Tribolium castaneum: one gene and its partner. The protein of the gene in region 1 interacts with the protein of each later gene in a pairwise test. Links are inferred from orthologs where the notes say so. Each region holds a gene or a part of one and is shown in the gene's direction. Other genes may lie near its edges. The genes, in order: N and dsh.

Evidence for each region.
Region 2: the proteins of N (region 1) and dsh interact in a two-hybrid assay, tested with the Drosophila melanogaster proteins (3 studies listed by BioGRID). The link is inferred for Tribolium castaneum from reciprocal best matches to the Drosophila melanogaster genes N and dsh.

Annotation. Positions count from the first base shown.
Region 1 is NC_087400.1:104,098-107,926, reverse strand, and holds the end of N (notch), read left to right. Parts: coding exon 1-1,108; intron 1,109-1,572; coding exon 1,573-1,792; intron 1,793-1,844; coding exon 1,845-2,824; 3' UTR 2,825-3,462; downstream 3,463-3,829. Other genes in the region: protein FAM91A1, read right to left, coding at 3,726-3,829. UniProt on the Drosophila melanogaster protein: Essential signaling protein which has a major role in many developmental processes. Functions as a receptor for membrane-bound ligands Delta and Serrate to regulate cell-fate determination.
Region 2 is NC_087401.1:8,564,849-8,569,185, forward strand, and holds the start of dsh (segment polarity protein dishevelled homolog DVL-3), read left to right. Parts: upstream 1-1,511; 5' UTR 1,512-1,744; coding exon 1,745-1,905; intron 1,906-1,963; coding exon 1,964-2,033; intron 2,034-2,081; coding exon 2,082-2,272; intron 2,273-2,324; coding exon 2,325-2,657; intron 2,658-2,711; coding exon 2,712-2,840; intron 2,841-2,887; coding exon 2,888-2,982; intron 2,983-4,337.

The DNA of each region.
Region 1 (3,829 bases):
ATTTCTGGCCGCGAAAGCGTCAAAACACACACTGAGCCAATCGTTCCCCATTTATCAAGTCAACGGTTCTAGTGGAATAATTGACGATCTGGACACGCCCACTAATGCGAAATACGTGGTCCTTGGTTTTATAATCGTGTTTGCGTTCAGCGCTGCCATTGCTGTCATAGTAACCACGCAACGGAAACGCGCCAGTGGCATCACGTGGTTTCCGGAAGGCTGGTCATTGGCCAACACTGGGCCGCGTAGGCGGAGCCGCAGACGTGGCCCCGAAGGACAAGAACTGCGCAATATGGGCAAACACCCATCGGTCCCACTCGAAATTGATAATCATGGGCAAGGTCATGTGCCACAGTGGTCCGACGATGACTCAGATATGCCACAACCGAAGCGTTTCCGTGGCTTGGAGACGGGTTATGCGAGTGATCATACGGGGATTACCGATTACGAGGAGGCGGAGCCAAGGGTGTGGTCACAACAGCATTTGGAGGCGGCTGATGTTAAACCAATCTCGATGCTGACTCCGCCCCAAGGCGATTTGAATGATGTTAACGCACGTGGACCGTGCGGTATGACTCCAATAATGGTGGCGTCGACACGTGGCGGTGGCATGGATACGGGTGAGGATGATGAGGATGATTCAGCGGGGGCGGTGATTCAGGATTTGGTAGCGCAAGGGGCGGAGCTTAACGCTACCATGGATAAAACAGGCGAGACGTCGTTACATTTAGCGGCACGTTATGCCCGTGCCGACGCCGCTAAACGCCTACTTGATGCCGGAGCGGATGCTAATGCGCAGGATAATACGGGACGAACGCCACTGCATGCAGCTGTGGCGGCGGATGCGTTGGGGGTTTTCCAGATTTTGTTGCGGAATCGGGCGACTAATCTCAATGCAAGGATGCATGAAGGGACGACGCCCTTGATCCTGGCAGCGAGACTAGCTATTGAAGGGATGGTTCAGGATTTGATTAGTGCTGAAGCTGATATTAATGCGGCGGATAATTCGGGGAAGACGGCATTGCATTGGGCCGCTGCTGTTAATAATGTGGAGGCGGTTAATGTGTTGCTGGCCCATGGGGCCAATCGAGATGCACAAGATGATAAGGTAGGTGGGATAAGTGTTAAGCACTTTTTTTAATTTTCTCAATTACGGCTAAACTATTCGAAAAAGTGGCACTATTTTATTTTTTACCTATGTAAAATGATCCGGGGAATCGACTGGCGTCGACAAAATTGCCAAATTCCTAATAGTTTTTTAGTTATGAATTTTTAAAATTTTACCTATTTTCGATTTTATTTGCAATTTTCTCGAAAACTATTAGTCGGAGAACAATGATCTTTTTTGAAAAAGATAGATAATTTAAAGAGCTTTCTAACGATAATACAATAATAATAATAATTTCACCTAATTTCCGAGCACATTTTTGCGAAAATAATTGTTGATATTTTAGCGAAATTTTCTCCAAATCGAAGCGAAATAATGACGCATTTCACAGAGAAATTTTTAGTTTTTTATTTTTAGCAGTCGAAAGTGTTTCAAACCTACAATTTGTAAAATCTTTTTTTCAGGATGAAACGCCTCTGTTTCTTGCGGCAAGAGAAGGCTCATATCAGGCGTGTAAAGCACTACTTGAAGCTTACGCTAATCGGGAAATTACCGACCACATGGATAGATTGCCACGAGATGTCGCCAGTGAACGTCTACATCATGATATAGTGCGACTTTTGGATGAACATGTCCCAAGAAGTCCACAAATGGTCAATGTTATACCGAATAGTTCGATGATGAGTAAGTTTTTATTATATGAATATTTTTCCACCAATCAAAAAAATTGTTACAGCATCACCTAGCGGCCAATTACAATTACAACAACCAACAGTAATCGTCCCAAAACGTCAAAAATCAAAAAGGCCGAGTAAAAACTCAAATAATAACAATAACGCATCGTTGGACCCGACAAGTCCCGAAATGGAAACGATCAACACCGGAAGTATCCGACGTAAACCGAGCGTGAAAAAATCAAAGAAACCAACCCCACAACAAGAAATCCCCCAAAGTGTTGATTCAATAACTTCAACCTTAAGTCCAGTTGAATCCCCAATGACGACAAATCTACCGAGTCCTTACGACACTGCATCGATTTACTCAAATATGGGCCTAACACCACAAGGACTTGAGTCATTGATTAATAAACAACCACCAAGCTATGAAGATGTGGTTAAGAATAATTTACACGGTCTAGTTGGCTTGGAAAATTACTCGTTCAATTTGGGTAATTTCCACGATACGATGATGATGCAGCAGCGCCAATTACAACAAGCCAACACCTTAAGCCCACCCTATTCGAATCAATCCCCGCCCCATTCCGTGCAATCGAATATGTCGTTATCGCCGCAAGGTTATAACGGTTCACCATCCCCGGCCAAGACACGCCCCTCGCTCCCGACAAGCCCCACCCATATAGCGGCAATGCGTGCCGCCACCCAACAGAAGCACGGAGGCGTGCCACAAGCACAAAATTTACAAATGGGTTTTGATTTTAGTCAAACTGGATTGGAGTTGCCAATGGCGACATATCCAGGATTGGTAAGTGGAAATTTACAATTTCAACAACAAAACTATTATCTGACTCCGCCCTCACAACACTCCGATCTCTTACCGGATAATTTTCCAACACCGAGTCCGGAAAGTCCGGGTCACTGGTCGTCGAGTTCACCCCGGAGTTGTAATTCGGATTGGTCCGAAAATGTCGCCAGTCCGAATAATACTTATGGGGGTGGACATCAGACTAACAAAGGCTCGGATGCGATCTATATTTGAGTATAGAATTATATGCCAAAATTTACTAAATACTACGTGCCTTGAACGGTTGTTATTGTAAGATTTTTTATGACACAATTGTACATATCTTTATTTTTTATTAATATTATTAGTAGAGAAAGAGACAACTTAAGCAAGCTCCAATCACATGACATTCGATTAATTAGGGTTTTTTTATTTTAGTAATTCTCATTTAGTTAGCGTGTCTGTGATTCAGATATTAGAAAAAGTAATAAAAGGTTCGCTCGCTCGCTCAAAGAGGGCGTACGTATCGTAATTTTTGACAATTTTTATAAGACAATATATTTTAGAATAAATTGTTAATATTTTTGATAAAGATATTTAGGTAATTTTTTAAACCAGTTTTTAAGTACATTCCGTTGTTGGGATCAAGTTTTAAAGCGTCTTTCAAATTTCTGTATATTTTAAACCAGTTTGGAAGGTTTCTATTTATATACTACTTCCTTTTTTTTTAATTTTTTTATAATTGAATCCTTGTAAAAAGTACTGATTAGGCCACTAATGATGGATTTATTTTAAGGTTCTCTTTTTTTAGTTGAAACATATTGTACTAGTTGTTAAGTAAACGCAAAAATTGCTTTTGTACTATATACATAATAAATTCTTTTTTTTTTAAACATTTTTCCTAACCTCCAACTCAAGACACTTGTGTCAAATCCACAATATTAACAGTTAAATTAAAACAAAGATTGTTTCAATACGTGTTTATTTCTAGTTTTAATAAAATAATTAATACTTAAAGTAAAGTACGTTTGGAAATGTAATCAAATGTTTTGGTCCGGAAAATGAAACCTAACCCTGCCATAAAATAAATGCAAAGTATTTACAAAATTAAGTCTCCAACTTATCACAAAATTTGTACAAAATATTGCTTATTTATTTATTTTCCCGTCCATTCGCTCACTTTACCATTATCGAAGACGAGATTATAACGTGGCAATGGTACCAACCGTCCACGTTTCATAATTTCCATATTTTCACCCG
Region 2 (4,337 bases), on another chromosome or scaffold:
GCTGTAACTTTTAGCCAATCAGTAGACGGCACGCAAATACGTCACGAGATTACACTTTTGAAATTCATATGAATTTATATGCATGTTTGTATGACTTGGAGAAGATTATAATTACCGGACAATGGAAATTGTAATATACAAGGGTATTCCAAAGATATGGTGCCACACTTTAGGGAGGTTCTTGCGTGAGAAAACGTTTGTATACAACCCTTAGTCGAAAATATGCCGTTTCTCCCCTGGAGCCAGTTTGGTCCAAATACGAATTACTATTTTGTTCATATTAAAAGACTTCGATATTTATTAGCTAAAACATAGCTTATGGAAAGTTTTTGAGTTAGGTGTAATTTTATTTTTGATCGTAATACCTAGTAGCCTTTGATTTTAAGCCAATTTAATTTAAATAAAGAACATATAGATTCGTCATGGAAGGCGAGAGTCTAAAACTAGCATATTCTTCGTTTTAGGTTACATCATCCCGTTAATTTGAACTTTAAATTGTACCCCCCACTTTTTAAAACCACCCCTAACTCAAAAACAAATCTACAATTATGTGTTTTCTCTACAATTAGATTAGTTTTCCCTTCTTTCTAATATATTTTTTTTTCTAATAATGATTCAAAATGTAGAAGGCGGTATTTAAAATGTCAAAGGAGTGGCTAGCGACTAGGGAATGAAGCCTAAACATAAACATCTTTAATGTTGGTTTTGACCTCTACCTTTGCAAGTCAAATTGAATTGTTTGTTTGTTTAAATCAAATGGGCTTAAAATCAAAGGCTCCCAATGACTAAAAATTTCAAAATGCAAATCAACATTTTTTTACGGTTAGACAAGCTTTTTCTTTCTATTCCAAAAATTGAGTGTCATTTAAAATTTAAAAAAAGGGGTGACTAGCGTCTAGGGAATTGGGGGATGTTTTTAAGGGTTATTTTAAAGCCCTGATCTGCAAATTATTATTGGTTCTGCAAAATTGAAATTCCCCTCCTAGTGGTGTATCTGATTTTTTCACTGCACTGTTATCAAGCTAAACAACACTATTAACTAATAGTCATCACCACTGGGTTACAATCGTTACTTTTTATTAAAAACCACAAAAAACACGATGTAAACAACACGTTTGTAATCTTGTGACATATCAACGTGGCGGTTCTCCCACTCCTCCAAAGAGTTACGGCGCAACCATGTCTCTACTAATCATGAGATGAACTTGGTCGAAATTTTGATTAAACGGTTGATTATTTTAAATAATCTATATGTAAAATGAACATAGTAAAATACTGCTCTAAAATATTGTGATTATGCAACCGCCTTTACAGCTCTAGAGTGACAATATCGGATGAACAACTTTTCAAAAGACATCGATTGATAATTTTTAAACGCAAATGTGTTTTTCATCAATTTATTAATCTTTTTCGCAATCATGCGCCTAAATTGGTTACATTTTCGCCAATTTACAACAATTCTATCAAGAAAAAATCGGCCGGTAATAAAGAACTCTACCCTTTCACAACAAACCAATTTTCGCAAAATATACGGGCCCTTTGCACCACGTAGCCAAAACTTGTAACTAGCGGTAGGGGGCTGTTCGCGGGGCCGCGTCTTTGCGGGTTTAATGCCCCCTTATCCGTTGTCTTGATCTCTTTAATCCCCTTGGGTGGGGATGACTTTAATGATGTCGGCCATGTTGTGTTGAAGTGTTTTTCTCCTGTCAAATTGTGTAGTTTTTCGCGAAAATCGAGTGAAATAATGGATGAAACGAAAGTTATTTATCACATAGACGACGAGGAGACCCCCTATTTAGTAAAGATACCGATTTCGCCGGAAAAAGTGACCTTATCTGACTTTAAAAATGTGTTAAATCGCCCCAATTACAAATTCTTTTTCAAGTCGATGGACGATGATTTCGGGTAATTCTCTCGTGTGTTTCACCCTTCGGGTGATTAAAACGTAACAATTCGTTTGCAGAGTCGTTAAAGAGGAAATCATCGACGACAGCGCACATTTGCCGTGTTTTAACGGACGTGTTGTTAGTTGGGTACGTTTCTAGCTCGCTAGAGAAGGGGGCGCATTAATTGCCCTACAGTTAGTTTCAGCCGATGGCTCAAATCAATCGGATGGGGGCTCACAGTGCACTGACAGTGTCACACACCAGTCGGAACGTGTGCCCCCCCAAGCCCCCGAATCAATCTGCACCGACACTGAAAGTATCATTAGTTCGAGACAGGGAAGGCGCCACCACAAATACTCATCACGAATTAACGGACACCTTCCACGGTACTGTTTTCACTTATATTTATAAGTCTGTGGTAAATAATCCCAATTTTAGAGTTTACGAAACCGCTTCAATTGTCAGTTCCGATTTAGAGACCACAAGTTTTCAGTCTGAGACAACCGGAAGACACACGGCCCTCTCAGAATGCTCCAGTGTGAGTCGGTTACATGTCGCGGGGCGCAAAAGACCGCAAAGACGACGAAAACAACGAATGCAAGCAATGTCACGAACATCCTCATATTCCAGCATCACAGATTCGACAATGTCCTTGAATATTATAACAGTGACCTTGAATATGGACACGGTTAATTTTCTAGGAATTTCAATTGTGGGGCAAAGCAATAAAGGGGGCGACGGTGGCATTTACGTCGGATCCATTATGAAAGGGTACATCACAATTTTATTTTGTGTGTCTCATTAATTTGATGTAAATTTTTATAGGGGGGCTGTCGCCCTTGATGGTAGAATAGAACCAGGCGACATGATTTTGCAAGTCAATGACGTTAATTTTGAAAATATGTCAAATGATGAGGCGGTTAGGGTTTTGCGAGAAGTGGTCCAAAAACCAGGGTTGGTATCAGAAAAATATAAGCCCAATTTTTTTATTCAATTTTCAGACCGATCAAGCTGGTTGTGGCGAAGTGCTGGGATCCCAACCCCAAAGGCTACTTCACTATACCTAGAACTGAACCAGTGAGGCCTATCGACCCAGGTAATTAAATCACTATACAGTGGAGTCTGCTTATAACGAACTTCCGGCTATAATGTACTATTTTTCAAGCACCAAAAAAAATCATTCCATGAAGGCATTGGCAACTTATTTTTCGTATTTTATGTTTCAACGGAAATTGAAAATATCTTTAGGTTCTATTTAAATTTTTTCGCGATGAGAAATAAGCGAGATAATCGCTTTGAAAGGAAGAAATCATGACGTCACAACGTAACACTGAACCCTCCAATCACCAAAAACTTTTTTGAGAAATTGAGATTTGAGAAATCTTTATAAACTCTGACAGTGTCACCTAAAAGTCAAAAACCATTTGATCTTTATATCGGACCAAATGCTGGAGACGGTTACGACATCATGATTTCTAATTTAAATCGAAATAACTTGAGTTAAAGAGCAGTTACAGAGAAACGGTTTTCACTATTGTAATAAGTGTTTAGTCTTCACTTAAGACAAAGTTGTTTTTTAAGTTGCCAATGCCTTAAAGCTCAATGTATTTTTTACCGCTTATAACGAACTAAATTTGACTTAAAATCTGACGCAATTTTCTGTTTATAACGAACTTTTGAGGAATATGTTGGGGTTGATAATGACAAAGCCGCAAGAGAAGTGTTAACTGATAAACAGATTATTGACTTACTAACTAAAAACATTTTAATAATTAAAAACATGTGTTTGTAAACATAACTACGGTGCGAATTTGCTAGTTGTGCAAATATTTCTTGATAAAGCTCAAGGAAGTCAAAATAAATTAACTTATTTTATCCAAACTTTTATTACTTCTACTAGTTTTTGAGATATAGAGAGTACAACCTCCACTTCAGCGTCTAAAATTAAGGACGCTTTTTCCAAAGTTGACTTTACTAATTGGTGGTGACATATGAGCAAATGAAATTCTGTAATATCTTCGCCACAAAAAAAATTGGTACAAAATTTTTACATTTTTATAATTATTTACGAGATGACTTGTTTTTCTGTAGCTGTTTTTGCTAATTTAAACTTAGTGTACTAGATATTGAAGAACTAAACTCTTAACTAAGGAACACTCAGAATTCATAATTTTTGGTTTTATAAAGTTTACTTTAAACGCAAATAACTCGAGAACGGTACATTTTAGCGATATGCAACAAGTGTCCCTTTTCTAAAGAAAAATGAATGGGCTTTCAATTTTTGGTATAAAAGAAGTGGGTGAAAAATCAAGTTATGGTCAAAAAACTGGAAGGGACGCATTGCAATCGGAAATGTACAACTTCCGTGTACATCACATTAAAGAGCGTCTTTTACATCACATTAAAGAGCGTCTTTTCGTCTCTTACATTGTCAAGTTTAATAATTGGATA